2 linked regions of the Oreochromis niloticus genome follow. The protein of the gene in region 1 purifies or fractionates together with the protein of each later gene. This does not show direct contact. Links are inferred from orthologs where the notes say so. Each region holds a gene or a part of one and is shown on either strand. Other genes may lie near its edges. The genes, in order: hdac5 and tbl1x.

Region 1 (16,031 bases):
GTGTGCATCCGTCCATCACACAAGGACGCACTGAAATCACCAACACAAGAGATTCCGTTTGGCCAAAGATACTTCAGGAAAATTGTCAACCTACTAGATAAAAAGATTAATTAAGAGAAAAGTAGAACAATGTAAACAGGTTTGGAGATTGGCCTATAATGTCTACGTCAGCTGGGTCAAGTGATGGCTTTTTAAGTAAAGGTTTAATTACTGCCACCTTAAAGGCGTGTGGTACACAGGCCAGTAATAGAGATAGAGACTGATTATATTTAAAATTGAAGCATTAATTAATGGTGGGACTTCATTAAGCACTTTTGTAGGAATGGAATCTAACAGATGATGATTTGGAGGAAAACAATTACTGAAGTTAACTCGGAAAAATGAATCAGAGAGAAAGAGTCTATCAGTACTACTGAAAGTATCTGCCTGTAAGGTGGTTTTGAATATTTTTTGAATATTTAATATTTTATTTGTGAGGAAATGAATGAAGTCTACTAGTTCAGGTCAAAGGAATGCTTGGCTCCGACTCTTTGTCAGCCTGGCTGCAGTGCTACAGTCCTACAATCTAGTAACTGGGAAATTCCCACTACTGCCTCTGACAGGAATACCTCATGTGGCTGCTTTAAAGCAACTGTGATCCAGTCAGTATCCAGACAGAGTCAAAGATGCTTTACTAAGTGTTGGCCAAGATTTGTCACTGCAAATATTTTGAAAATGGCATGATGTATCCCATCAGGGATGTGGAGTTTGAAGTCCAATTTGGATGACTTTACACTCCTTCTCTGGTTCTATCACTCATTTTTCACACTGGTGCTGCTTCTGCTGCTTCTGCTGGGAGGTATTTCTGGAAACCAATATTTTTCTTTTCTCCTGCTTTCTTTCTCCCTGTCTTGTTCACTCTGCATTGCTAAAAGAAAATAGGCACTATGACGTCAGCCCTGCAAAACACTCTAAAAAAAGCCATGAGACAGAGAGACAGAGCAAGAGAAAGAAAAGGCAGAGGAAGAGGGAGAGTGAGGTAAAAATAGTATAATGGCTGTGTGTACTTTAGACAAATTAGAAGCTTAGAGAGAGGGAGAGGAGTCACATGTGTGGTGTTGCTATAGAGACTGATGGGTGGGTTAAGCATTATGGGATGGCAGACTGTAGGTCATCCACAGTGGATCTTGTCTGTTGTGTTACACTGGGTTGAAAGTACTTGAGAACATCTGGTACAATTAATTGTGCCACAGAATATACGTAGCTTTAAAGATGCACTAAATTATGTTTTTATATTTCAAGTTCAGGGTTCAGTGGTCACGTACAATGTAAAGGGAACCAGTAACAGTAACGAAACCTCAAAGAATTATCACCCCCATGAAGCAGGCCTCCTCAGCGTTTAACACTGTATATTTCGTCATTGTGTTTTTACACTCTATAGCTTTCAGTTGAGTCTCACGGTTGTGATCTTGCTTGGTCATTTTAGCATCAGACAACAGTTTACAGTACAAAAAGCTCTCATTGAATGCTTACAGTTAAGCAGATGGACAAGTTGAGAAAGTATCGGATGAACAAAGCAGAGCACATTTCCTACAACTGGCGGTGGAGACCAAAACAGACAGTGGTGGATATAAACATGACTGTACAGATGCGTCCACACAGACTAGCAGTGATTATAGTGTGGTGAACGTCAATGAATTTAAGCTACTTACAAAGCCAAAATAACCTTTAATGACACATAGTGGGCAGGGACTAATTTAAACTTTCAACTTTGAGACAAGGGATTGGATCAACTACCAATAGGAGAAAAGGATACTGCTGACGGGTGGTAAATACATTACAGGGTTATCTATACAACAGGAGCCTGTAACATCCACTTGCAGCAATAGGTGACAGCAAGCTCTTACTTAGGTATAGAATGTCATACAAAGTTCATTATTTTCCACAATTTATAAAGGTGAACTTCTACTTTGAGGTTACATAAAGTTCCAGCCTACTAGAGCAAGAGATACACGACAGTTCTCTTGCTCTAGTAGAATACAAACAACCACAATCAAGGGAAAACTGCCGACTTGACAGTTGTTCAGATAACAGTCACTGATGCTTGCAACAATGAGAGAAAGCCACATTAGGTCATTGCTGAAAAGGCTGGATACACAGGATTCACAGAGTGCTGTGTGAAAGTATGGAAAGTTTACTGGAAGGGAAAAGTGTGAAAGGAAAAGATCCACAGGGAGCCTGAATTACTGCAGTCTTGAGACGATGGTCAAGAAAAGTTGATTCTAAACTTAGGATGGACTGAGGCTGTTGCCAGTGCATCGAGAACCACTGTGCACAGACGTCTTCAGGAAAAGACGCTACATCTGTCACTTTCCTAAGATTAACCCACTACTGAACCAAAGACTTGAGAAATGTCTTACCTGTTCATCAGTGGCCCAAAGTCTTTTCAGATGAAAGTAAATGTTGCATTGCATTTAGAAATCAAGGCTCAAGAACGTAAAGGAAGATATCCCAGATATTCCAATATCCCAGTGTTTTAAGTGCAGTGTGAAGGCTCCACAGTCTCTGTGATGCCATATCACTTCATGCTTTAATCTGCAGACGAGCTTTATGGAGATGTTTCTTTTTCTAGGTATTAGCACTTGTCCACAGTGCAAAATGAAACTGGCCAACGAACTCACCTGACCTGAACCTTACAGAGAATCTCTGGAGTACTGTCTAGATGAAAATGACAAACTCCCAAACTCGAAAATCCAGAAAAGCCAAAGGCCACTATCAAAGAAACCTCAATAACAGCTTTGCAATGCCACAACTACAATGCACTGACGCAGTAATCCACAGTAAAGGAGTAACGGAGTAAAGACATGGGTGTACAGACAAACATATTTTTGAACATTTGGGCCATTTGTGTGTTGTAATATATCTCTCGAAATATTCTAATAATCAGAGAGGCTGGCTTTGATTATACGCTATAATCAAAATTCAAACAAAAGAAGACTCGATATATTTCAGGGTACAAGTGAGATCAAAGTTCATATGTTAAGTTCTTTTTCGTGACATTCTCTTCTTTGAGAAGCCTAAGATGTGTGAATGGTTCACCAGTTATAATGATATAAACAAACAGGTGTGTTGATCTGGGAGTTGTTTTTATTTTGCAATCTACGAGGAAATTCATTACTTCATTTAAAGGAATTTTGGGCCCCTACATATCTAAATCTAACAAATCTTAAGCTACTTCATTAACAGCATTTTCAATCTCTGCAAGTCTTTAATTCTGAACACACACACACACACACACACACACACACACACACACACACACACACACACACACACTCACACACACACACACACTCACACACACACACACTCACACAGCCAACATTGTAACTGCAGCCAAACAAAGATTAGAGTCAATATACATCCTCTTTGTTCCAGCCTGCTGTCATCAAGCTACATTTCAACACTGCTTTACCTCATTTTGGCACCATTGTTTGGCCAGTTCTACTCTAACTAAACCTCAGAAAATCCATTTTATCACCCATGTTTCCTACTAGTGTACATTTGTGTTTGGCATTATAGGAGTAGCCAAAAATAAATAATTAAAACACTGACAATTTCCTAAAGATCACCAAAGGATTCCCAAAGCTAACTTTAAATCTACAGAATGAGACGGAATGACAGAAAGTGTGTCCAGACTGAGATAGCTAAAAAGAAACCATCTGCATAAACTACAAAAATACTCAGACCCTTTGCAAGAGATGAAGAGAGAGTGGTCGGGGCTTTCTGCCCTTCTTCTCTTAGAAACATGAAGAAGAGCGAGAGCTACTCTTTTGCTTTAAGAGTGAAATATTCTTCTTACAAAGAAGACTGAATCTCATCTGTCTTTGACCTTCTGTCAGGCTCGTCAACTGCACTTTATTTCTAAAAATCTGATTCCTTTTTTCTTTTTGTTTTAACATAAAATGTAGAGCTTACTCTTTCAATGTAAAAAGAGAGACTTTTACACATATTTTGATTTTTAAAAAAAGAGAGTTGAAAGTTCCAATTGTGAGAAAATGTCTAACTGTAGTGCGGGGATAAACTATGGAACCAGGATATTTTGTGAGGTTGGCTATCTTTTGTGTTGTAGCACTGATGCCTAGCACAGGAAACCTGCACACAGTTATTCTAATTAAATCTATGATTTCTAAACACATGCATCAATATTTATCCTCAATGTGTTTGCTCGAGAAGACGATACAGACGAGATGTTGGAAGTCACGTTGAATCTAAAAATATGTGTATGATGTATCTGTAGAGTGCACAGTTTGACGCAAACTGTGGACACCGAGCACTTATGGTACTCAGGTACCATCGTTTCCTCAGCGAGCTGCGAGTGCTGCTGTTCCAGCTGACAAACTTCAACACAAATACCACACAGGCGTTCCTTATGAGAGAAAACGTCAAATTATTCATCAGTTTTAATCAAACCTCCAGTACACCGCAGCACCCCACCCCTCCCTCCCACCTTCCCTCTCCCCCCACCCCTACTTTCCCATAGATGACTCACCAGCGGTGGGCATGGCAGCGCTGGAGCCCCTGTTGCCGCTCAGGAGCTCCAGAGGCTGATGGTGGCTGTCTGTGTTGCTGGAGGAAAAACAGGACTCAGTCTCATAGATGGTCTGCAACATGGCGCACAATCCTGACACGGTGGGATGCAACAGCATGCCAAGGCGAGAGCCGGCGCTTTATTTTGTTAAACCAGTCACTTCTTCATCCGAGACGCAGGCATGCCGTAGACCCATACAGTTAAACTAAAAACTTCAAAACTAACTTCTGCGGGAAACGGCCGCGAATTACAAGAAAAGAAAATAATCGAACACCTCTGTGCTTTTCTTGTGTAATCCAGTCTCCATCGGACTCCTGGAGCTTCTGCCGTCTCTGACTGCTCGGCTCGAGTTGTGATGACGAGCGGGCGACACTTTGAGCAAACTCCTCCTTTCTAATATCGTCGTCTCGGCTGCAGCCCACAGAAAGCCTCCCCTCGGCTGGGCTTTGCAGATCAATCAAAATGTCAACAGCCAAAGGAGACCACCTGAAAAGTGTCTGTGTAGTCTTTTGGTTTATTTCACTGTATCTACATCACCTGGAGTCCTGATCCACGGAGAAACACAGTGCTGGCTCCAGTGCTGTTGGGATGTGTAGCAGATGGAAGGAAAAGAAAGTTTGTTTCATCCATTCAGCTGCGAGGGAAAATCCAGTCACCCACAGGCTGTGAGAGCGAGGAGCGACCGACGAGAGGAGCTCCTGCAGCCTCGTCAACACAATAAAAATACAGACAGAGGAGCAGCCGAATTCCCCAGCTCTGTGTGCATCAAAGAATCCTCACGCTGTTCTCCTCCTGGCTGACGAGAGGGAGGAGGAAGAGAAGGAAGAGGAGGAGAGCAAGGAGGAGGAGAGGCAAGGACGTAAATAGCTTTGGGAGAGCGCTCCCCGAGGTTCCATGTTTCCAAAATTAGAACGAAGCACTGAGAGAATGACAGAGAGAGAAGGAAATGGAAGAACGCTGGGATGGCGAGTTTTTAGTCCTCACTGAGAAAATGGGCAGCAGGAGAGGAGATGGTACGCTATCCTCTTATCACAGGACAGAGGACAGAGGATAGTGGAGCTCCACACAGCGACCACAAACAGCTGCTGGTCAGACGGCTAATATTCACTGACTGAGAGTCACTGATGACTGTGTGTGTGTGAGAAACGCTCACTGAGCTACTGAATGAACGTCGACAGAGAGACAGGAGACAGAGGGAGGAGGGTGACCGAGAGAGAGGCTGAAAGTAGATCACTGGGTGGAAAGGAAGTTAGATGGATACAGAGAAAAGTCAACAACAGCTCATTTTACTTCATAGAAGGGAGAGGGAGCAAGGACACGAGAAGAGAAGAGAAGAGAAGAGAAGAGAAGAGAAGAGAAGAGAAGAGAAGAGAAGAGAAGAGAAGCATTTACAAACACAGGCGATTGGGGTGGGGGAACGGTGCTGAAAATAGCCTGCCAGGGTAGAGGAGGAGCTAGAGATAAAAATAGACAGAGAGAGGGGAGAGAAGGAGAGAAGGAGGGAGCAGTAAGCCTGCAGCTCTGGGGTGGGGATGGGAGGGTGGCGGTGGGTGCTTTCATGTTTCTGTGCTGTGCTTGCCAAATACTGTATGTCAATCAAAGAGTGTGGGTGGGCACTGTGGACCTCTTCTCGCTCTGCTAGGTCCACGACCCCCCTTTTTTTTGGGTGCACAAATTGTGGCCATGCAGGTGTTTATGTTAACTAGCGGCGGGCACTGGGGGATGGCACAGTCAGTGTAAGATTGCAGTGTGATATCAGCTCCAGGCATCCACAGTGCCAAGAGGATAAAGCCTACTCATCTGCTGAATGGTCATTTAGTGCCACCAGCTGGCCAAAGTCTCCACCTGACCAATAAAATATGTCAACATTCAGCCAAAGGATTGGCCAACATTCATATCTCCCAGAGGAGGAATCCTGATAACTGTTCCATTTAGTACCACCATCAGGTTGGTGCTGCAAATGGTTCTGCAGCTTTAAGCTGTACTTGCTGTTAAATTGCATTAACAATATTGTTAATCATTGTTTTTGTGAGGCTTCATTCACTTAACCCTTAAACAAGTTTTTATTGAAAAGAAAAGTTGAAGCCTTTAAGACACTTGTTTGAATTAGCTATAACAGTGTTTTACCAGTGGTTGTATTAAGATGTTATTATTTGATGGCTACTTAACTTTTCCTATTCACTACCACCATTTCTTTAAGAGCATCTGCCACTTGCCAGGCTGCCAATACGTCTGTGGTCTTAAGGACTTGCTGGGTTAAACAAAGAGTACACAGCCTCACTTGCACCACCTTGTGGTTAAAAGCTGGTAGTGAAAGTACAGCCCAGATCTAGTTAGGCTTCCGTTAAAATCTCTTAAACACAATACAAAGATGCTTTGGACACAAACTCACAACAGGTTTTTCACATTTTGTTGAAAGATGTCATTTTCAAAATGGAATTTAAATTAAGTATAACTACAAGACTGTGCATAAGTCTTAAGTCACCTCTGATTTCTTCCCATTTTGCTTCCAGTGAGCCAGACCTTTTTTTTTTCTTATATTCTGATCCTGAGCAGTCGTTCTCCAGGCTTCAGAAGATCTGTCAAAATTTTTCTTCTATTCTTTCCGACATTTTTCAGTCCCGTCCTGACTGGACCGTTTTCAGAGAAGTGCTTTTTTGTTAGACTATTTAACACTGACCTATTCAATTATACTGGACCATTCAAGCATGTCTACACATATAGACACAACTGATCAAAGACATCATCTTAGATAGTATCTTTAGGTAGTCTAAAGCCACTGTTTAGTATTACACATTACAAATGAAACAAGGAAAATCTCTTCATGTTTTGTGTGTCTGAAAGAAAAAAGGACGTCAGCCTATCTATGGGAATATCAGGTATTTAAATTGTGTCATGATGGGGTTTTTAAAAAAAAGACTGGACAAGAAACAGTCTTCTACATCACTTTGCGCAAACACCTCACTTCCAATAGAAAAATGTCAGAGAGAATCCTGCAAAGACTTCTTTGTAACTAGAAGCTACACGGCTCACTTTGCTGTCAGCGTGGATATTATTCATTGAAACTGCTCTTTATAGTATTTGTTTGTTCCATTCAGCATTCAGTCATAACAGAAGCTACACATTAAGAATAGGTTTTGGTCCTTGTAACAAAATATAATGGGGTGTCTCTGCTGCTGGCAAATGCAGAGTGCAAGGATTAGAAAAACAAAAGAGGAGAACAAACCGAGCTCTGTGTAATCAGTGATAATACATTTAACAGACGAACAAATCCAGCAGACCAGCTCAGGACTCGTCTAATTCATGTATTTGTCTGCTTTTCATCTCTGCGTTGACCACTGTCGCTGCTGTTTCCTTTCCAGAAATGTTTCTTTGAATCATTTTATCATCACTTCTATCCCACCTCCTCCTCATCACCTTCATCTCCCTCATCATCCTCACCTCCTGTGTAAACAGCTCCCTGTGTCCTCCAGCAGATCTAAGGCTGCCTCAGTATGACTCACAAGTAAAGACTATATACACAGCAAAGGGAGAAAATGTAAATACAGAAAGTTAATTTGAAGTGTCCTGTCTTGTTGCACACCGAACAGGCTGCTGTGTTGCTGCTCTGTTATCCAACACTATGATTATTTATTAAAGACTTGTGCTGTTACCTTAAAATCAGCCTTTCGTGTGTTTATGGTAGCAAGTGAAAGGGACGCGACTGTCCAGGCAACATGTCTGACATCTCAGTGGTCTAACATACCAAACACATCTACTAAAGGTGAGTGTGTGTGTGTGTGTGTGTGTGTGTGTGTTTGTGTGTACTGCAGCAGCTTGGCGGATGACTCATCTCTGCGTTTCTATTTGAGGCGCATCAACCCCTGGAGTCACACTGCTGTCTGTGCGTGCTCGTGTGCGCGTGTATCTACTACATCTGTATCCATGACAACCAAATTACAGCCAGTCAGTCACCCCATCACTCGTCCCAAGACAAAGCTGTCAAAAAAGCCGTGGGAAGGACGCACAGGTACATACTACTCACACATATACAAACACGAACGAAGTTAACCAATGCGATCCAGCACATGGAGCAAAGCAGGAGTCAGAGCTGTCGTTACATTCACTGTGAATGAAAAATGTCTCCCTCACCTGACTAACACCATCAGTAGCAAATATCAAGCATTTTTTAAAATCATGAGGACTGTCGGCAACTCGATTTAAAGACTCCAACCTGGTCCACTCAGATTTCTGACATAAGTCATGTGTCCCAGCATTTAGTGCCCTTAAACATACGCCTACCAGTGATGATGTAAAACGAGGATGACTCACAAGTGTTCAAAAACTTATTACTTTCGTTAAAGCACATGTCTGCAACGACAGCCAGAGACTTGTAATATATTAATATATGCTTTTCTTTCCCAGCATGCTAGCAGCTTGACATAGGAATAGCAATGATGGTCAGTTCTCCACATGTGCAATTACCACCATTTACTACCTTTAGTCTATAGTGCAGAGGATGAATTCTATCACGTGTGCTGACCCCCTCACCTTTCCTCTCGTACCACCATGACACTGGCATTTTTGCTGCCATTCAAATTATATGCATTAACCTCTTGAGCCCCAAGGGGTTTTCTGAGCTTCCTGCTGGAAAATGCAATGCCTCAATTAAATTGATTATTTCTCTGCAATTACAAACTCCGTCCTTACAATCTTTGTATCAAAATGAAGCCAACACTTGGGACATTTAATCAGAGGTGTAAATATTAAAGCGGATATTACTGTGTCAAAGTTACTGAGACTGGAACACAGAAAAAGGAAGTAGATTTTATTCTCGCCTAATTTTTTTCTTCTTTTGCGGCTAATTCAGTGAATTTTGGTCCGATCGTGGTCAAACTTCGTGTGTTTACGCAGTGATAGCCCTGGAAGCTAGCCAGCCTATTTATAACCGGTTACATGAAGACTGTCTGGTTCTCGTTTGCGTGTTTAGCGGACTTCTGCGCATTACGTAACTGCTCGTTTAATCGCGGCTTGTTTGCGGTGTGTTTGGTGGTTGTAGAAATGGTTTATATGACATTGTAGCTGAGATTCTGAGGTTTCTGTGGATACCACACATGTCTGGAGTTATATTTCTCAACCGGCGTTATAACCGATTAAACGTGATCTCCTCCCTTTTGCCCCCGGTACCGGGGGCGTGGGGCTTATTAATAAATCCTTCTGCATGCTCTGGTGTCATTGTCAAGGCTGAGTTTTCATTTTTGTTTATAGTCGAGATGAGCAATGAATGAAAAATGAAATGAGCATGTGTGTATAAAATAATCAATCAATAACTGTAAACTGTTCAATAATCAAGGTTTTGATTTGAGGCCCTACACTGAAGTTACACTCCACTAGCTAAACAAATTAAGCAAGCACATTTCAAGAAAATGACTTTTCATCCTTTCAAAGATCATCTCTCACCCCAAACTACTCTCACTTGACTGCACATGCTCAATTTAGCATGTTTTGTACAATGTAATGATTTAAATGCTGTGGTCGCCTTTGGATTTGCAGCTTGCTCCGGTGACCGTACCATCAGATCCTCATTCAGTTTTGATTTCTTTCATAATGTGCAAAACTAAGATGGTAAAGAACCAAATATCAGCTCTGAGTTAACAAATAGCACTAGTGTTGTTTGTGCATCGTTAGAACAATGCTATTACAATACAACTTATAATCATCTGTCCACGGATTAGTCCCATACTTTCCCCGGTACAACAGCTGCACCATAACTCATCAACTGTTAAGCTTTACTTTTTTTTAAAAAAGCGGCGTGCACTTTAACTGCCATCAGCGCTCGAGTCAACCATGTAATTGTGCCACTTTTAGTAATACAGTCTCTGGCAGGATGACAGGTGTGTGCAAAATGTGTTTTTGTTCCATTAGATGTCTCAAAAAAGCAGATAAGAATAACTTATACACACTTTATACTTAATATAAAGTATACTGAATAGAGAACAAAATACTGCTGACCTGGCCAAGAATGACACCCCATCCCCAAAACACCATCATTAATCCCAATGAGGATCATCTTGTGTCATCACCAGTGTCGAGGGTCATCATTTGTTCCACTTCCGACCCTCTTTTATCAATATTTCAATCCATTCAACTTTTCATTAATGCTTTATTTGTCTTTTCTTTTTTCCTTTTTATTCTCAGTATAATTATTAATATCCAGCAGTAGTAGAACAAGAAAGTAGTAGTAGTGTAGTTATTACTATTGTTGTTATTATCATTATCATTAAACTTAAGTTGTTATTATTATTTATTGCTGTCTTACGTAGCAACACAACACAATGCATTTACATACATGTAACTGACGATCATGTAACATGTAACTCATGTAATAATGGATTGGATTTCATATAGCGCTTTTCAAGGCACCCAAAGCGCTTTACAATGTCACTACTCATTCACTCTCACATTCACACACTGGTGGAGGCACGCTACTGTACTGTACTAGCTACTGTAATGAAAGACTGACACCGATGCTAGCCACCAAATGCACAGACTGAGCTACAAGCTGTGTTTTAACACAGCTGTTAAGGTTCCCTAACAGTTATGTATTCACTTTTATTAAATGACAACCAAATAAAATATTTACATTCATTTTACTCAGAGGAGCATGCACTTTCAGGAAACTTGTTCATTAAAGTAGCAACATTAGCATGTTAGCAAAAATAGCTTCAAATGGAACTAATTAATATCTTAGGTGATCTTTACCATTGCTTAGTATTCATGCAATGAATGTGAATGATGATTATATGATTTACACTGACCGAGCAGGTTCTATAAGCAGGGCGAGGTGTCGATTGACTCCAGAGGGTTTGTGCAGCTCAGAAAGAAAAAGGCTAACTGAGCAAAATCGTTCTTTCTGAAAAGTATTTTACGATTTCCTGTAGAAAACGATCAGGTTGACGTGTTCTGATCTGTGTGGATGATAATAATCATCACAATATCTGTGTAACAAAGGCAAAAACCAACATGATGTAATTATACACTATACTGTGACATGTGCATATTATCACCGTTATACTAAACGAGGATGGGAGCACCCCTCCTAGGTCTGTTTTGCTGGTGTAAACACAGTATTGTTTTGTATGTTTAACACACACAGTATATTGTTGTGCAGATGGATGAAACACAGTGTAACACTCTGTAACTGGATCTAGCTTGCTCCTTATGCTAATGCAACAGCCAGTATACAAATCAGTAAAAGTAACTGTTCAAGATGTACCTACAAACATGCTGCCCAGTATGGCACAAGCTCTCAAACCAACACAGCTCTATAAAATAAGCTCAAGTCTTGCAGGGCTGTCAGTTCTGACCTGGCCAAATCTAAATTTTGACCTGACTTGAGAAAACACGGTAGATAAAGCACAGAGCGAGCTGCAGAGGTCTTTGCGCAGACACTTTGTCTGGAGTAAGTCAGGAGTAAGTCACACACACTTAGCACTGTCAGGCAGCTGGAGTAAAGCTACCTACAGTATGATGACATGACTGCTTTTGATACTGACAGCTTAGATGAGCCAAACATCTGCTAGAAAGTGCTGCTGAAGCATCGAGCCTTTTAGTCGTACTCACAGTGTTTACACAGCACTCAGCACCTTATTGAGCCAGCGCTCAGTATAATTGACCTGAGCTCAAAGCGCAACAACAAAATCACACTGCACAGTAACCCAACCACAAGAACAAGGCCAAAGTTTGCATTGCTCATATGGATTTATCAGGGAGCTTAGAACTTTGACACATTAAACACAGACACTGTATGAAAAAATGAATCCAACATTAGCAATAAGAACATTCACCAGTCCAAACTGGGCAGTTTTACGCTTCCAGGATTCAGGACCAATGATGTTAACTATTTACATATCATGCTGTTTGAAGAAGACTTACCTGAGGGGTGTGATGAATTCATGAAGGCTGAACCTGGACTTCTTTCCCCTGCCCTTCCACTGTGTGTGTGTACGTGTGTGTGTGGGTTATAGCGGGTCCTCTGAGTCGGCCATGTGTAGAAGGACAGACGGATGATTCAGACCTTCTTCTCGACGTCTTTCTGCAAAAGACAAAATTGCCTTTCTTCAGCATTCACACTCAAAACAACCGACACCTCAACCAAACAGCTACAGCCCAGTCACAGCGTAGCAGACGAACTGGGACTGCAGGTTGATTTGATCCTGCTCGACAGTTAACTGCAAAGATTACCATGCTTAATGTCTCTCTTGGCTTCTGTTCTTCTGTCTCCCAGAGCTCAAGTCAGAGCAACAGTATAGTTGGAGTTCTTTATTTCACTACTTTTCACAGATGTGTCCAAAAGCCTGAGAACGCCTGTGAAGATGTTTCTATTGGCACACGTCAATAAAATATTTCATTAAAAACAATGATGCCAGCTTAAACATTTTAGTGTTGAGTTAAATCTCTGAAATCTCCCTATTTGACAGCCTTTTATAGCACTTGCTCACATCCAATAATCCAGCTACTTATACAGACTCTGTCTTATTCTTACAAACGCTAGCAATATATGTAGTAATAAAATCTTCAGTTTTATGACAGATTCTCCCGTCACCTCTATGCACTTTTGCCAAATATAAGGCCTGGGGGCCACAATTGGCCCAGCAAAGACTCCAATCTGGACCGCTGGAAGGCTTAGGACACTATGAACCATCGCATATACTTTGAACTTTTAGCTGAACTGTCACAAGTTCTATAGGTTTTCCTGCTGATAAAGAGTCCATCCATTCATACTACACCAAACTCACAGAAAAACAATTAAATCACACAAGACTTTTTGCACTATCTACTACAGAAATGTCTGCTTTTATTATAGTGGGTCCACATTTTTTTAAATGCAAAAAAAAAAAAGCAGTGAATTAACAAAACTTTATAAATTTTCTGTCTTTTTGCACATTTATCATGTAAAGAAACTGAGACGTGCAGTTGAAATCCCACTTTGTTTGTCTTATATTAAAACATTGCAGGGATTAAATGCTCAGTTACGTTTCTCTACACTGACAGAAAAGGCTGTTTCATTGGTCCTGCAGTCTGTGGCCCACAATATAAAACTAGTTTCACATCCCTGCTCTAGATATGACAATAACATCACAAAGAATCATGAAGTACAATCTGATATGATGACATCCACACTGGCTATATGTCAAACTGTGTTCTGATCGAGAATAATGAGCACATTTGTTTTATTATTTCAAACACAGAGAAAACCCGAGGCTCACTGATGCTGCTTGATCCTCTGGCTCCACCTACTGGTTTTGTACTGAAAAAGGATTTATGGAAAACATACTGACACCCTAAATAGTTCCCAATAAAGTGTGTAATAGGTGTGTGTGTCTAAGTGTTGCAGCTAAGTCCCTGGCTACTTAGCTGTAATGTGATTTAAAGTAATGCATTTATCTTCCATTCCCTACACCTCCTCCATTCTTTTTGTGTCACTCAAACCACACACACACTCATTTGTTCTTGGACACATCACACACACACCGACACAGAGCAGCCGTGGCGGCAGCTGTGTGAGGACTGCTGGCTCTCAGCCCAAACACTGATAGCAGTCGATTAATGCTTTTAACTGATGGAGGGGGACATCTCAGCGTGGGCGGATTCTTCATCGCTGTCATAATGTCACGTACATCCAACATTTACTCGCCTGTAGCTGCAGCTGAATCGGCTCAAAATAAACCTTTTTAACACATGTAGTCAACTAACCTGTTTGTACATTATAATGGCTTTGAATGGTCGAAGTACACTGGACTGCTTTTCAGATGCAGGTAAAAACAAGCCTACGTGTGAGTGCCTACATATGCCCACAAATTCAATTTAATTCCTTTATATAGCACCAAGTCACAGCAACAGTCGCCTCAAGGTGCTTTATATTGTAAAGACCCTACAATATTACAGAGAAAAGCCCAACAACAAGCAAGCACTTGGAGACAGTGAAAAGGAAAAACTCCCCTTTTAACAAGAAGAAAAACTCGAGCACAACCAGGCTGCATCTGAGCTCATGTGATCTCAGACGGGGTCGGACCTGGGTAGTACTTGGAATTAGAGACTGGCTGGGAATACACATAAAGCTGGAATAATTGGTGGCCCAGCGGAGCACTGGCTTTCAATGTCGCCTCACAACAACAAGGTTCTTAAAAGCCTGTTTTTATTTGGAGTCAGGAGACAGATACCTTCTCTACTTTTAAGATTAGACTTGAAACCACGCATTTAATCATTAGTTACTATTAATGTCTGCCTCTCTTCCACAGCATGTCTTCATCCTGTCTTCCTAAAAGGGAGTTTTTCTTTCCCACAGTCACCACAGTGCTTGATCACAGGGGGTCATTTGATTGTTGGGGTTTTCTCTGTTTTCTTGTATTATTGTTGTTGTGATTTGGCACCATATAACTAAAACTGAATTAATTGAACTGGTAAATGGTAAATAGTAAATGGACTGGTTCTTATACAGCGCTTTGAAGCTGTTTGCCAGCACTTTTCACACTCTCCCTGTGTCTGCATGGGCTCTTTCCAGGTTCCTCCCACAGTCCAAAGACATGCCTGTTAAGTTAAAAGCTGATGCTAAACTGGTCATAGTTTCTGCCTCTCTGCATTAGCCCTGATAGTAGGACTGGGCGATATGACCCAAAATTCATATCTCGATATTTTTTTAGCTGGATGGCGATATACGATATATATCTCGATATTTTTTTTAAAGCCATAAAGTAAGAACAAAAAGAGAGTTCTTAGTCAAAGCTGTGTCCCAGATGTCACACAGGCACTTTTATTAACATACAGCGTAGATGTACAAAACTACTCAAAAATAAATTATGAGTATTTATTAAATAATGATGCTCCATAAATAAAAGAAAACAATGTTGTTTTTGTGCATAACAAAGAGCTCACAATTGTGCAGTCAAAATGTAAACTAACAGACACTGAGCATAATAACATAGACAGATTTCACAGCTGCTCTGTTCCCAACTTCTACTGCATGACTGACAGCCTGGAGTTTGAAATCCGCTTCGTAACCATGTCTCTGAACAGGTGCCATTTATGGTCCTTATACACACACAATACGGTAATATTACGTTGACGCACAGTACGTATTACTCCGCGAGGCTCCTCGGTAGCCGTAATGCTCCGACAATCCATCAAGCGGTGCAGCTCCGTAGCTTACCAAAGTCGTACTAAAACATTTATTGACGTATTGCTGAGCGCCGTGTATCACATAAAATCGGTTCGGGGTCATCAAGCACAACCAGAATTCATACATAAGGCACGCAGTCAACTTTTGAGAAAATGAAAGGATCTTAGGCTGTGCAGCCCTTGTGGGCTGCATGGCGTTAGCGCGGTTAGCTTGTTAACACGTTGACGCTGTCCAGCCCCACGCACGGGGCGATGCGCGGTAACTCGTTAACGAAGATTTGCTGTGTCTATCTTGCCGTTGCCT
Region 2 (15,561 bases), on another chromosome or scaffold:
ACTGCAGCTTCTGTCTGCCCTTTTTTTTTTGTTGTTTTTTGCTTTCTTTTTTCCTTTTTGAGGTCTACATGCAAGCATGACTGCATAGGTTGTATACCCATACACCTTCACTCTGTGTAACCAAATACCTTTGCAAATGGACACAAACATGATACCATGAATCCCACATAACACATTAATGAGGGCATTCAGTGCCACTAGAGCTTCATCAAACATGCTCAATCCTATGATCCTCACACAAATTACAGGTCAAATTTGTACTCCTTATTAGACACGGCAATATGAGTGAATTTTCACTCGCAAGAGACACACTGGAAAACAAGGTTTCTCCCTGGGAAATGATTGGAAAATGGCAACAGACTGTAAGAATCACTGATGGAGCCACCATAATTGTTTCCATTCAGGACCCAAGATCCACCCTCATGCAAAACTTGTCAACATCAAATAAAAATGTCATCTCTCACTTGCATACTGGTGACATTTAGTTTTCTCAGTTGAAACCAAACTAGTATTATAGTGTTCAAAGAAGGGGATTCCCAGGTGTCTTCTCTATTAGAGCAGACCCTACATTTGCAACCATAAGAGAACAAAACTTCAATTATTTTAACAAACAGAGCATATGACTCAAAAGAAGATGAATCTGTATTTACATCATCAAAGAGTACTCTCTAAAACTGCTTTCATTTTGTAACAGAAGAGGGCTAAAATGACTGATTATTTCTAGTAAAAACATCTAAAAGATCATCCATCCATCTCTCTCACACGTTACAAAATTAGTGCAGCATCTTTATGCCTTAAAAATCAAAAGTGCTACATTACTCTAATCATTCTTGACAGCTTTTTATCCGCTACATGAAACAACCTGCCCACACCTAGGCACATTCTTGCCTAAATGATTTTGGTCATTTTGGCAGATGACAGATTCATCATTTTGTCACGCAAGTACAACAAATTATTGCATATATTAAATTGTTACCATATTGGATTAGTGTAAAAGCATACAGCATGGGACTGGAAATAAATCTGATTACTGACAAGCTACACTGAAGACACAATAACCAGGTTACTGGTAAGCTATTAATTTGGCGTCTCCAGATAAGCTTATTTCATACATACATTCATACAAGCACATCAGGAACTAGTCACTGTGGGGCATGCCTGTGTATATGGCTCTGTGGGGGTGGGTGGCGGATAAGTACATTGTGTGGAGGAGATTCTGGGACACAAAGCTTTTTTCTTTTTTTTTTCCCTTCATGCTGAAGGCAGCACACAAACAACATAAAAATCCACCTTTCCCATTGCTCAGTTAGAACGTCACAAATTTATGTGGTTTTACATCTAGGCCAGTGCATACTAAGCGAAGCGGAGAGTGAATTATCTGCACGTCTGATAATAAACGCCTAAATGAATAATGAATAGAGCATTTGGAAGTGTTTTGGCTGTGTTGACATTACGCAAATGCGGCCATTGTCTACACCACTGACAGGAACTGAAAGTATTACATCTCTATGGGAGTGTACAGTATGTCTTAACAAGCTTTTGCATAAACACTATTTCACTACCCAAAAAAAAAGTAACCATTATAGTGTTTGTGTATTTATTCAATAGTAATGAAGAATCCTTAACAAGTTCGTAGTCATTTCAGAGGCCTCTGCAAGGCATTTCTTTTTCTTCATCAAAATGAGGATAGCACAAATGAGCTGTAAACACCGAGACACACCAGTGTGGGCAATACAAGTGTTGCTATGGTGACCAAAGGCTCTTGCTTCTCTGTCAACAGCTGCTCATGCCACCCTAAATACCCCCACTCTCCTTGAGCTTTCCTTCCATCTGACATCAGGGTCAAGCAAACAAGGCAGGCAAGCGTGCTGAAAAACTGATCTTCATTCTAAGCCATCTCACGGCTGCTTCTTTAGCCAGCATTTACACCGTGTAACACTAACACCAACACACCAAAGATTTCCCTTTGTCTGTGTCCTCCACACAGCATCTTCCATGCTGAACAACTGACTGCACACGAGCAATAAAAGTTTGGGACATTTTAGGGTTTCCTCTTGCAACCGCATGAGTATATGGGTCATGAAAATACACACAATTATAGACAATCACAGAATACTACTACCACATTTTACAGAAGTACATTCATTTTTGCTTCTTGGCCAAAACTATGAAAATGTGTTATTGCGATATCCTGTTCCAATTTTAAGGATAAATGAAGAAAACAAAAAACAAAACACTGTTATTGCTGTGTAATAAAAACTGATCTTAAATACTGCTGCATATACATCCAGCTGCTGCATGATGCACTTAGCCTCACCTCAGCTCTATTCTCTATTTTTTTGAATGCCTTTATTAAAGCTTTCACTCTGTGTGCATTTAAATGTCAGAGTTGCATGCATTAACTTTCTGCCTTCTACCATCTGTAGTTTTTGCTTCTTTGTTTCTCTACATGTCCTCTCTCATTGTGTCTTTCTGCAGGTATCTCTGGACTCACACGCTCCTGGTCTTCAGATACAAGCCTTCTGAGCTCAGCGTTTGTTGTTTCCCTGTGGTCTTCTTTTCTATCTTTGCTTTCACTTCTAGTGTCAAGCTCGATGCTCGCCTTCTCTTTTGAAAGGAGCCTTTTTTCCCCCTCCATCCCCGCTGTTACCACATGCTTGCTCAAAGAGAATCATTGGGTTTCTCTCTATGATATTGCAATGCCATAAAAATGGCACTGGTGTGATGCTTGAGCCATACTGCCTGCCTTAATCTCTGCATACAGCTACCTCACTGAACAGCTGTTGTCTACAAAGACAGTGCTGCTGTTGCAGCGCCACTATTGCCAGCCCACAGAGAGAGCAAGAGAGAGGCTACCAAAAAATTACTACCTTTCACCTTAATGCAGGCTTTCCACCATTGTGGTACACAGCTGACAGCCCACCTGGCACAAGCACCTACATACCACCTCCACAAATAAAATGGAAATCACTTATTATGAGGTGGATGTTGGCTAGTTGAATGAACTAACCTACATGAGGCTGTCAACAAGTAGTCTAAATTAGATTTTATTGATTATATAATCCAACTGTAAAATCATAAAATACATACAAATAAAAATTATTCTTTGGAAAAACAAACACTGTTGTGCCATTTGTCTTATCTTGCAAGCTACACAGAATATAATGCAGAGTTTCTACCAGTAAAGTTGTTATACCCAGCAGCTGGGAACAGGACAGTTAATGTAGAAATATTTACCCACAACGTTGCACAGTGGCAGAGTGGGAACAGCAGAGCTGCTTCAGACTTCAGACACACAGCTGCCGGTGCAAGGAAATACAGGGAGCGAACAATTAAGCCTACCACAATAAGGTAAACAATGTGTTAAGTCACAACATTTCCCTGATTATTTTCATTTAGTTTTTCAAACTTCTTTATAGCTCTTCTAACTACTTCAGGCTAAATTCAGTCAACAGGATCCTTACATTTTGCACTACACCAGCAGACAACCTAAAAGCATGGACAGAAGTTACAGCTTGTCACTTTCAGTAACTGAAAATGAAATGTAAGTCCAGGGTTTGACAAGAGTGAATAATTCAGTAACAACCGTGTGGTTTTTGATGGCAGGGAGTTCACAGCTGAGCTCAAGTGTGATTTGCACTCAAATCAATCTAAAAATAAACAACTTTAAATAAAATAACTATGTAAGACATGATGTCTCATTGTAGTGGTATGCCTGCTTGCAGACATGCTGCAGATACGTCTAATATGCAATAACGGTTTGAACCTGAGTGGATTTTGGTAAAGGAATAAAGAAATGTCTTTTTTGGCCAATTCTAACAGCCCTAACATCATCCAGTCCTTCTGAGAACTGTGGAATTTCAGTGTTACTGACATAACCCAAGCATGCATACATACACTGCAGGGTTTCCACCAGCATACTGCAAACGCAGAAGCCCAAGCAACTGCAAAGTTTGAATTACAGCCTTCCAAGTGACTGGAATTATAAAGAGATTTTAAAAAACAAACAAACAAAAAACATATAGATGTTGACTTTTGAAATAAATAAAATATAATTCAGAAACGCCTGTGAATCCATCATAACCAGAGGATTCTCTCACATGTCAAGAGGTAAATTGCAATATTCAATTAATATTTAAGCCCAGTCTCCAAAAGGTGCACAAGTCTTTGTTAATTGATGTAGCAAGGAGTGGCTAAGATGATGATGACATACTTTGCATGCATAACTACACTGATTGCTACACAAAAGGTAAGATAAGCTTACGTGGCTGACTCGGATGAAGATTAAGACTTAAGCAAAAACACAATATGACCTTCAGTGAAGAACTTTCCCACTCTGGCAAGAATGTGCTTGCACAACTTCCCGAAAAGTCATCCACCAACTATTTCTTCATTCATCCTTCTAAGACGTTACAAAAAAACAAGAAAATAAAATCAAGCAAGTCACACTTAAGAAATGTGATCATCTGCCTACACTTGAAAAGCACTAAACATTAATACTTAAATGTTTAACAGATGCCTAAAGGGATGTGTACTTGCTCTACTTGTATTCTAAGTAGGGACAGAGGGAAGGCACCATAGGCCGTAGCTCACACAATGATAAACAGCACCACCCTAACACCAAATGATATCCAAATAAATAACTACAGCCTTCAACTAGTCAGTACTTGTATGGCAGTTATTTTAGAGTAACCACCAGTGCGCCAGTTGGCTGGTCACCACTGAACACTGCATGTCTCTTTTGAAGGGAGAGAATGGCCCACCTTCCCCCATGGTCTATCATAAATAAATACTGCTACAGAAATATTTGGACAGCCCAGTGAAGAGATTTGCAGCACCACAAGGCTGACACACAGGACTTCCTTGCCCTACTTATGAAGAGGGAATACATTTCTGTTTTTAATACAGTCTCATTGCACTGTGGATCTGATGTTTTCTTATAGTAGTTAGATATAGAAAGTAAAAAAAATAAATAAAGACAAGCCATTATATAATTGAACTATTTCATAGACTGCAGGCCATGAGGTGTTTTTTTCCTTTTAAACACAAGACCAGGTATTGCATGGAAGCTAAAGAGAACACCTTTCATCTCAAATCCTGTCACGAAGCAGGCTAACAATGTTATTTGGCTATGCCCCCTGAGGATTCAGTACAAATGGTAATTGTGTACATTTATTGAAACGGCAAATAAAAAGACAGTTTAATTCCTTCTTTTCTTAGTGGATTTAAGTGTATAAAGTATGAGTAATGATACAGAGTATTAAATCTAATGCTGAGCTAAACATTAGAGATTAACAGGCAAAACATTGACACTAAATCCTGGTGTTCTTTTACCAGGTGGCACTGAAGCTGTTTTTGTAACTACTGTAATTAGAGTTCAACACAACTTGTACAACAAAGGACGCATTTTCACCGCACAGTCCGCAGTCTAGATTAGGTTATGGAGAAATTATTTTACATAGCGTGAATGTTCTTATTAAATTTGGCTGAAGTAGCTTTTTAATTCAGTCTCAATAAACTCACGGACAATCTCAGCAACAGCTTGCAAGTTTATTTACTTGAAGTCCAGCATTTGGGGTGTTCTGAATTCACTTTGTTGCTATTGCTCATCTCTCTTCCTGCGCTGACTCAGTGACCCCAATTCTAAAGCAGTAAATCACATTAAACTGCAGCAAGACTTGAATCTCCTACATGTTCGCTGTTGTTGCAATGTTGCCTACCCCTTACTTTATATTGAGTCATCACAGTTGTCTTCTGCATTTCCACCAACTACTGGACTGAAATGAAGCAGCTGGTTGCAAAAACTGTTTAAGACACTCGTCACACCAGATCTTTAGAAGAAAATACACCACAGGAAAGTCCATTTAAACAGCTCAATCTAAAAGAATATCCTGCATGAATGCTGTGCTGTATTATTTCCCCGGTGAAAAACTACACACCGGTCATACATGAGAACTTTTCTTTTTCCCTTACTCTTTGTAAGTGACCACCCCATTACATAAACAATTAATGATAATCTGGCATTACTATCCAGTGTGCACACACACCATATGTATGGTAAATTTGCAAGGTAAACTACTGAGCACATAAAATAAACTATTCACAGTACAGGCTGGAAATGAGATTATAAGTGTTCGTTGTAGACGTGCCCCTCCTTATAAATTAGGTCATCAACGAGGATTGTGAAGCTGCTAAACTGTAGCCTCAAAAAAAGTCTAGTCTTGTCAAAAAAAGAAAGACGACGAAAAAAAAAAAAAAAGACTTCTTCATGTGAACTGTGCCTCGAATTTCACAGTACCTTGGAAAAACCATAGAAATGGAAACTGCTAGAAAAGGAAGGAAAGCATTTTAAAGGACCTGGGTGTTCAGCAAATTCAAATTCATAAAAAAATGTCTCCACGTACAAGTAGACAGTCCTGCTGCTATAAATAAAAAAAGAAAATCTGCACAAACTCCTTGGTTTGAAGGAAAAAAAAAAAATCACTGGATGACACTAATACCAACTGTGAAGTATGGTGGAGGTAGTATTATGGATTGGGACTGTATTGTTACTTCAGAGGCCACGATTAAGGCCCAACTGTGACATTTACTCTTACTGCTAGCAGTTCAAAAAGTGATAAACAAAACTGAGTTAAGCTTATTGGTTTAGCCTTCCATAACAGTTCTAGTTTCTCATGTGGCCCCTTGGGAAAATTAATTGGCCACCCCCGCCTTACAGTGCTCGAAGACACAATGAAACTGACACAGTAATAAGAAAATTTACAAGAGAATGGCATGATTGAGATCAATGACCTCAAGCTTAGGTGAGGTTGGGTGATGACACAAGATAATCACCCAAAGCCAAAAAAACAAAAACAAAAAAAAAACGGAAGAAAATTCCTGTTGTAGGGTGGCTGTGTTGGAGTCCTGCCCTAAAGGGAACTGACATGCTGTGGCATGGCTGTTCAGCAAAAAAAAATCCCAGAAAATATGTAACTCGTACTGTAATCAAATAACATTCAAATACAGCCACTAGGTCAACAAGAAATGGGAGCATCACATTGACATTACTTATGTGGGCCACTGATGTAGAATCAGGTTACAAGAGAATTTAAATAGCAGGGGTTTTAGCCAGTCCTGGCATCTGAATCTTTTTTATATCTTGCTTTAATAGCAACAATAACATTTTTTTTCTCTTCTGGGTGAACCGGTACAAAAGCATGACTGGTCCACATGTAGTTTAGGCATAGAGCCTATCCTCTTAATTAAAAGAATTCAATGTCTATCCTTGTTTTTAATTATTTGGATATATTCAACTGGGAGAAGGCCAAAACTTGGAATAACCTGGATTAAGATACACTTTGATTCTCTTAAGACAGACAAGACTGTTGAAGCTGTATCCCATCATTCGAGGCACTATTTAGAGTCTTAAAAGGCAGGTCAAACCACATTTCTCAATCTCTCATTTCTCTCCAAATGTAGTCTGTGCTTGTTGAGTGTTATGTAGACATGCATTATCACAATTTATATTCCTTCCTACACAGCAGAGTTTCTCTAAAAGCGTCTGCCTGTGCTGTGCTGCATGGTAGAAGGTCATAAGCTTAACAGTAACAATTTAAAACTGGAGTTATACAAGAGCATGAACTGGCCCTTGAAACTGGTGGCACTGTCTAGTACAGTTGAATTTCTCTCCCCTCCCCCACACATGCGCTTCCTAAGTCTGCATGGCAATATAAATATGTATCATTCATGCTTTAGCTCAAACAAAATGATCTAAAGTGCAGCTTAATGTGCTTTGACTTCTGTAGCACATTTCCAAAGTAGACAAACTAATCAGTCACCACAATGGGACAACCTTGAACCTCTAAAACTTAAGTCGATTTACTAAAAGTAGTCCACAGGTCGGCTACATAAGGTTAAACATGGGTATGTTTCTTTAAGAAAAACAACAATGTAGCAGAAAAGTAGGCTGTTTGAAAAATCATGAACAAAAGAGGCTAAATTAAAAGGCGCAAACAGGAATTTCAACACACGTGTGGAGTCAATGGGTGACTAAGCTTTGTGCCGGCAAGTATCCTCCTAATCAACGCCGTAATCACCAATTTCTCAAAGTCATTATCCTCTTCGCTTTTAACCCACACAAACACACAAGCAGCCTGAATGCAGTGCTGCCCAAAGCAGTGCCACTCGACCTTTCCTTAGCTTACCTTTTATTGTGAGTGAACTCGTGGTGTCCGCCGCCACCTCTTCCTTCTTCTTCCACAAGGAGAACCTCCAACTTCAGCGAGCTAGCTACGACTTTCCTCCCATTTTGATTACCGTCACATTTCAAGTTCCGACCGCGGGTGTGTGTGTGTGTGTGTGTGTGTGTGTGTGACTCACTGCCGGCTAAATTTGCTGTGCTAACAAAGCGTGTTCACCCAGACACGCACACGCGCGCGCGCACGCACACACACACGCACAACTGGCGGTAAAGTTGGAATAAACCCGAGTTTCTGTGGCTGAGGCTGCAGGCTACTCTCTGTAGAGTTTCACCCTCACCGTTCACTGAGAACAGGAGCAGAAAGAGACAGCAGCGAGCGCTAAACGGCAGAGAGAGAGAGACGTACACACAGAATAGGAGAGAGAGCGCGCGCAGGGGGGGGCGGGGGGTTGAAGGCTAAACTGTCTTTAATAAACCTGACTAATATAAACACGATCCATTCTGGGGTTAATAATCCAGGGACTGTTTTATCTCATTTGTATCTGATTGGCCTAATTAGCCAAATCAGGAGCCAAAGTGTCAATTTGTTAACACCTTATGGAAAATATAAAGATACACGTGCTGTCTGGAACCTATGTGTGCCATTAACGCGTAACTACTGTACGCTTTGTATATTTGCACACGTGTGGATTCAGCAGACCGTCTTAAATTTGACCCCCCACCCCTCCCCAAATATAGATTAGGCGGTATAATTAATACCATTAAAACATGGCTCTCGAGCTTAAGTGCACTATGATATCTTGTTTCGGTTTAAGGACAGTGCGCTGAGACTACAGTGTAGCATGTTGTTGCCTATCTGGCCTCTCGGAGGCTCTTCCCATCCCCCCACACACCGCTATTTTTCGCCTGCCTGGTCACACAGCGGTTGATTAATTCTCCTTTCGCCTTGCTCAGTCATTCAGATTTGGAAAGTAAATAACAAGTTGACATCAGTGTGACACATTCCTTTGGTTACCGTATGTATAGCAATATTTGCGCATCACATATTCCATACAAACGCTACAACTGCTCCAGCCTCAGCCGAAATGGTGGTGTATTACGTGCTTTTAGTTGGTTGGCCTGCAAGCGTACACGTGCACTTTGATATACTGAGAGATCGATAGGTTAGAGAGAGAGGTCTGATGGCCTCATGATGCAGTTTAGTGCAAAATAACCTTTTACATATACAACAGTGATAAAAAAATAAATAAATAAAAATAAAATAAAAATAAAAATAAGACTGGCGGTGTACAAAAGTTTGGTGCAAATGACACTAATAAATATTATGTACACTATATCTCTAAGAAACAGCAACAAGAAGGTCTGATATTGAAATGCGTGTGGGGTCTTGGCAGGTGTGTTCACCTGTCACGAAGATGGGAGCTGTTGTACAGTTTCACAGAGAACAGTAGGAATGATATTCTGAAGTGTCCTTTATGGCAGCGAGGTTGAATAAGTCTGAGAGAGAATAAGCTCTGCTGCCTCTGTAGTATAGAATGGAGCGGGTGCAGTGGGGGGTCCACGATGGAGAGCAGTTTGCTGGCATCTCTGGCACTAATGCAAGCCCTCAGCAGATAACAGCAAAGTAAATGATCATACTATCACCGATCTCCATTATCACACACGCCAACATGTTAAAGGATCTTAGCTTCCTCGCAAAGTAGATTCTGCATTCATATCATGTACTTTGTTCTTTGTGCAGGAAAAAAAGCTCAATCCCCAGTAATGCTTAATTTCTACCAATGTCCCAACTTAAACAGATTAATTCAGTGAACATATTATTACATATTCTATGTCTGAAGAAGCAGCTACTTTTGGCCATTCCATTATTCACAAGGATTCACCACAGCAGGTACCTCCACATGTTTTATTTGGAAGTTTTTACACTGACCCTCCCTCCAAAGGACTTTGTATCTGCTCCCAGAATCAAACTGGTGATCACTGCACTGTGGAACCACTTACATATACAATGTCTAAAAAAAGCTGTAATTACTGTGACAGATGTATGACTAAAACTAACATCCCAGCCTGGGACAATCAATCAGTCCACAGAAGACAAGGCTATGTGTGGCATCAGCTATGCCTTTAGTGCCGTAAACCTTTCTGTGTGATACCAACACAACTTACACAATACATGAGATAGCATTTATGGGCATGTCAGTTATCCATTTAATCAGGGTCATGGCTGAGGCTGCTTATTGTCTACAGACAATGTGTGCTACACATGAAAAGATATATCCACAAATTTTTTACTTCTATACTGAAGAGACCAAAACCAACAACTAGTCTGTCTCAGTGATTCTATCCTGTTTGCGCCTCAAGCCCTTTTCATTCCAGCTGTGAATACATGCTCTAAATGCAAATCCGTACAGTTTGTATGTCTTTACATGTTTTGGTTATTATTTGATTACAAAGTTATTTTTGGACCTTAAAAACATTGCGATCTTGTGAGTATTTGTGGCCCCTGGAGGATCTATGTGGGATTGACCTCAAATAAACTACACAACCCATGTTTATTGTAATGAAGGAACATGTCAGCCACTGTAATGGTTTGGCTCATTGATTTCTTATTGATTGACTAACAGTAGAGGTCTGGAGGCTTAGAATGCACAGACAGCACCAGTGGTACAAAATCATTAATGGTTTTGATGTTTTTTCTATGGAATGTGGTGACAGCGAGACGCATATACAGAGTTCCGCCAGCTCTCCATTTCCTGCATGTAATATTTAACCTTTTGTCAAATGTCAGTGCATCTTATGGTTTTGACTACCACAAGAGATTGTTGTCATGCTCTTCTTGTTTTTTCCTGTGTACTCTTTTAGAACATAATTATCACAAGAAACAGAGACGGTTACGTTTATTAATGCTTACTAGCTGTTACACTTTAAAAAAAAGACAGTGATAACAAACACACACAGTTCCGGAGGACGTGTAAATGTCCGTCTGATATGCATCTTGTGGGACTATGCTGTACCAAGAGTTCCGTCTGATTAGCTGATTAGTTATTTAGAGCAATACATATCTGATACAAGCTCTGCCAAATAAAAAAGTCAGGGCCTTTAATACCAGTAAGGTTTTAGTAAGATTTCAGTGAGGAAGGGAGGGACGTGATTTCCAGAAAGTGAAAAATTTGAAATTTGCCCCATTCATACACTCTCCTTGGGTATATTGCATAGCAAAGGTCCCTGAGATGATGTGGTTACTTTAAGTACTGATATTATTGCTCTCTGAAAAGCCCTGCAAGGGGCACTGAAAATTATTTTCTGTGATGTGGTACGCTGTGGGAGTTGCAGTTTCACTATGGGTGATTTGCAAGGTACAAAAGTCTCACACTGACTGAACAATATTTTATTATAGAAGTGAAGTGGAAGACTGGAACTTACATGTTTAAATTCAGCATTTCTCCTTTAAAGTGGTTACGCACAATGCAATTTCAAGTGTTTATCTCACCCTATAAGGATGCTTTGAATTTGTGTCTCATAAGCAGTTCTGCAGTGTTTGCACTTAGTAATTCTTGAAGTCATGGCTTTTGTCAGATTGAAAGTCAGATATACAAAATGAGTAAATAACGGTTAAACAGTTGTAGGCCTGCGTTCGGGGAAGCCTTATTGCCTGCCAAATGAATCATGAAACTCTACAAGCAAATCAATTCAACTTTATAACATACAAGTTGACATCGAGGTGAATCACCTCAGACAACTTTCCGAAAACAGCACTTGTGACTGGGCTTTAGTATTTGACAGTACAGTGTTTCACCGTAATGTAGTGTAGCTCTATGGAGTTTGAAAGATGCACACTAAGCAGTAAACTAAAAGCTTTGTTTTGTAGATAACTTTTCAGTTAAACATTGCACTACAGACTCTGTTGTACTGCATCTGACCCCACCACCTGGATTTGCCATCATTCAAGAATAAGACCCTCATCTTATTCTTGCATTCCTTCACTTAATACATCTACTCCACCTCGACCCTATGGAACATTCCTCTTTTTTTCCCCCACAAACAACTATCCCTTGAGATTTTGTGCCGATCCTTAAACCAGCATCGTCACACTGCTCCAAACTGCCTGAAGCTACAGTCTGATGAAGCTAGAAGGGCAAATTTCTCTGTAAATTGTAGAAAAATTCGGATGAATTTCTGTGCATATTGTAGCATGAAGGGATACAATGCCCCCATATTTGTTTTTTTGCAGCTTACTTATATAACCAAATCCTCCCTTACCCTCTTTAATTGTTTAGTAGCCTATCTCTTCCAACTTATGTGATTTCATTGTTTATTTGTTATATAAAAGCACTATTAAAAATATAAGACTCCTGTCATAAAAACAGTTCATTCTATTAAATCTTTAAACCACTGGAGCTGCTTTTAACAAGCACATCTTAGTACTTACAACTATGTTGCCTTGTGTACGTGTTCTCCTCTGTACAAATGGTCAAACACGCTTCTCAGTAGCTTCACTGCCTTTTGCCCCTTGCACCTCTTTTACATGGTTTATGGTAGGAGCGTTTCCTGCCATAGAGCTGGGGCTGACCTCCTAACAAAGAACAGGTTCAATCTGCCTCCCCTCCCCCAACGCAGGAAGCTGATGAGGGTCACATGACCTTTCTAGACAGCACTGAGGAGCAATGGTAATATGTAAGGGTGGGGGAAGGGAGCAGCTAGTCACACCAGTCTTGTGTTGTTATTAGGCTGGAGAAGTGTGGGGAAAGCCTAGTCGGTTGCAGGGGAATATCCAGTCGAGTATCTATTTCTCATCGTGCTCTGGTGTCTATTTACATACTGGATTTAGTTCCCTAAACCCTGCTGCTTTATTCACACTATAAAAGGAACACGAGCATTGGACCCAGTCTGGAAGAACAAGCTCCCTTATTTATGATTTTTATGTCTATATGTTGATGAATAGACAAACGTACAAGCTTGGGGAATTCAATAGTAGCAAAACAAAAGAAAACAAACAACAACAAAAAACCTTGTGTATGTGAATACACTGTAATACACCTCCTCCTCCTCCTCCACTATCTCCCTCCCCTCCCCCAACCATCCACACCAGCTAGAGAGAAGGCTTTTTGTGGTGCACTGTTATGTCATAACCTACAGACCTATTTTTCAGACAAAGCAAAACAGACTGCGGGAACAAACATCTCTATTTGCAGCTGAAACACTTTGGTTTCACTTAAGAAAAACAGATGTAACAGTTGACAGAGCGGAGGAGCTCCGATCAGCCATTCCGTTTGAGAGCTGCTCCAAACACGCTGCTTAAATATGCCACTTACTCACTCAGCCGTAATAAATTTCACAAGAAAAACTGACTGTTTAAAAAAGAGAAATATTTGTGTTACTTTGGGAAGCCACATTCCTACACTCCTCAAAAATGAATTCGGAGGGGGGGGCAGAGAAGGCGGGAAAGCAGACAGATATCAGAGATTCATGGATAGAGGACAAAGGTCAAGGGTTGCTGACCTGCAACCAACAGACTTGCCTTGCCTTTCCTCCCCCACTAGCACGATAGCAGTCAATGGCTTTACAACGTTTTGTTCTTACAGTGGCATTTAAGTCTTTTTAAAAGAAATTCCCCCTTAAGCGCCTCAGACCATAATGGTTATGTTGTACCTCAGATTTAATCTAGTTTCACATTTTAGACATGCTAAAGTCTAAATTGTAATAAAACCCATATATATATATATATGTATATATATTACATTACATAAAAATTATACAGTCACACACACACAAGACACAACTACAGTCTTAAGTCTGAGACTTAGAATTAAGAGAACCATTTGTTCTCTTAACTGCCATTGCAGCTATTTGTGCGTTCTATGTTTACATGATATATCAGCTTCTTTAAGGCCACTGATGAGATGACCTGGCACTATGAACACAGTATGCTTAAGGTATAAATATTCTTGTAAATATGTCCCCAGTATACACAGTTTGATATTAAAACACAGCTTTATAATTTATAGCAAATTTATATAGCGGGGGGACACTGGCTATTGATCATGGACCCTTTGGGGTCCTGAGACCTCCATTTGAGAACCACTGAGCTGGACTACTTTTTTGTGTTTGTTATGTTAACCAACTAAAAATGTCAATACCTAAAATATATTGTTACGTTATTTGATTAACCATGCTTTTTCTTGTTTTATTTATCCCCCTCCTGCTTTTTATCATTACTATTTAAGTGGACACCACGGTAGAAAGCCCAACATATATCTGATCTCTTGCCAGGAGGTTCTCAGATGAGCTGTGTCTATCTATCCACTGTATTGTTAGCTTAGAAGCTTGTGGATGGGGATGTCTGCTGTGTAGTGTTTTCCTGGTTTCAGCCTCTTGCTTTGTCATGGCAACATAATGGCGTGTAATGAGCTACCACTCGCTTAGACACCCAATACAGCATTGTGACTTGTCATGCTACATAATTACTCTTCTGACCCGCGGATTTCAGAGATGATGGCTGGATATGCCTGTCGCAGTTGTCTCTGCAGTTGCTGTCGCCTCTTGTGATGATCTGCGCGAGACGAAGAGCAATTTAGAGAGTGATTGAATTGTATTTCAGACAGGAAAGGGTTCCACACGTCACGATAAAAGTCATTCATGTGAAGCTGATATGCAAAATCATAACTGAATGCATCCCTAGCACCTCTCTACCAAATTAGGTTATAAAACTTTGATAAATCCTGTAGCATTTTGCGATAGTTGGGTACAAAAAAAGGAGAAGCATTTAAACGTTTTTGCGTGTGTGCATACATGCATGTGTGACACAGACACAGAAAGATTACATTGAGTTTTGAAAATGTGTCCTATTTTTCATCATATCTGATAATTGTTTGCTTCAGACAAGAGAACAAAATCCCCCCTGATAAATTCTCCATTGTTGGATATTAAGGCTGGATCATCTCCTGGAAAATATTGTGAGAAAAAGAGAGAGAGGTTGGGCGGGGGAGTGGAGGAGAGAGAGAGGTCTCAAAGGCCTGTCTAGACCTCAAAACTTGCCTGTGGTAACATTGCCATCTAGTGGTACAAAAAAAAACCGTCCCACAAATCACAGATATTGAGACGTCCCTGTTTGGTTAACATGGGTTAAACACACAGGTTTCCTGACTGTGTCCTCCTTATGTCCTCTTAGTCTATTTATTGTATCCAGTCTGAAAATAAACACCACCCTATTCGGTGCGGTTATTATCATCCAACCTGCTAACAGCCGCAGAGGGATGTTCAGCTGTCAGTCAACCATCACTGTCTAAACTGAGACCAAAATGTAACTTCAGCTCTGTGTGGGTGGTTTATATGTGAATAACAGTTTTTGCTGGACTATCACCCCCGAGTGATTGCACAAT

The links.
Region 2: the proteins of hdac5 (region 1) and tbl1x purify together in Homo sapiens (affinity purification with mass spectrometry; 3 studies listed by BioGRID and IntAct, with this or other methods). This does not show direct contact. The link is inferred for Oreochromis niloticus from reciprocal best matches to the Homo sapiens genes HDAC5 and TBL1X.

The regions. Positions count from the first base shown.
Region 1 is NC_031969.2:4,473,764-4,489,794, reverse strand, and holds the start of hdac5 (histone deacetylase 5), read right to left. Parts: upstream 8,222-16,031; 5' UTR 4,689-8,221; coding exon 4,532-4,688; intron 1-4,531. UniProt on the Homo sapiens protein: Responsible for the deacetylation of lysine residues on the N-terminal part of the core histones (H2A, H2B, H3 and H4).
Region 2 is NC_031987.2:18,248,063-18,263,623, forward strand, and holds the start of tbl1x (F-box-like/WD repeat-containing protein TBL1X), read right to left. Parts: upstream 8,597-15,561; 5' UTR 8,187-8,596; intron 1-8,186. UniProt on the Homo sapiens protein: F-box-like protein involved in the recruitment of the ubiquitin/19S proteasome complex to nuclear receptor-regulated transcription units. Plays an essential role in transcription activation mediated by nuclear receptors.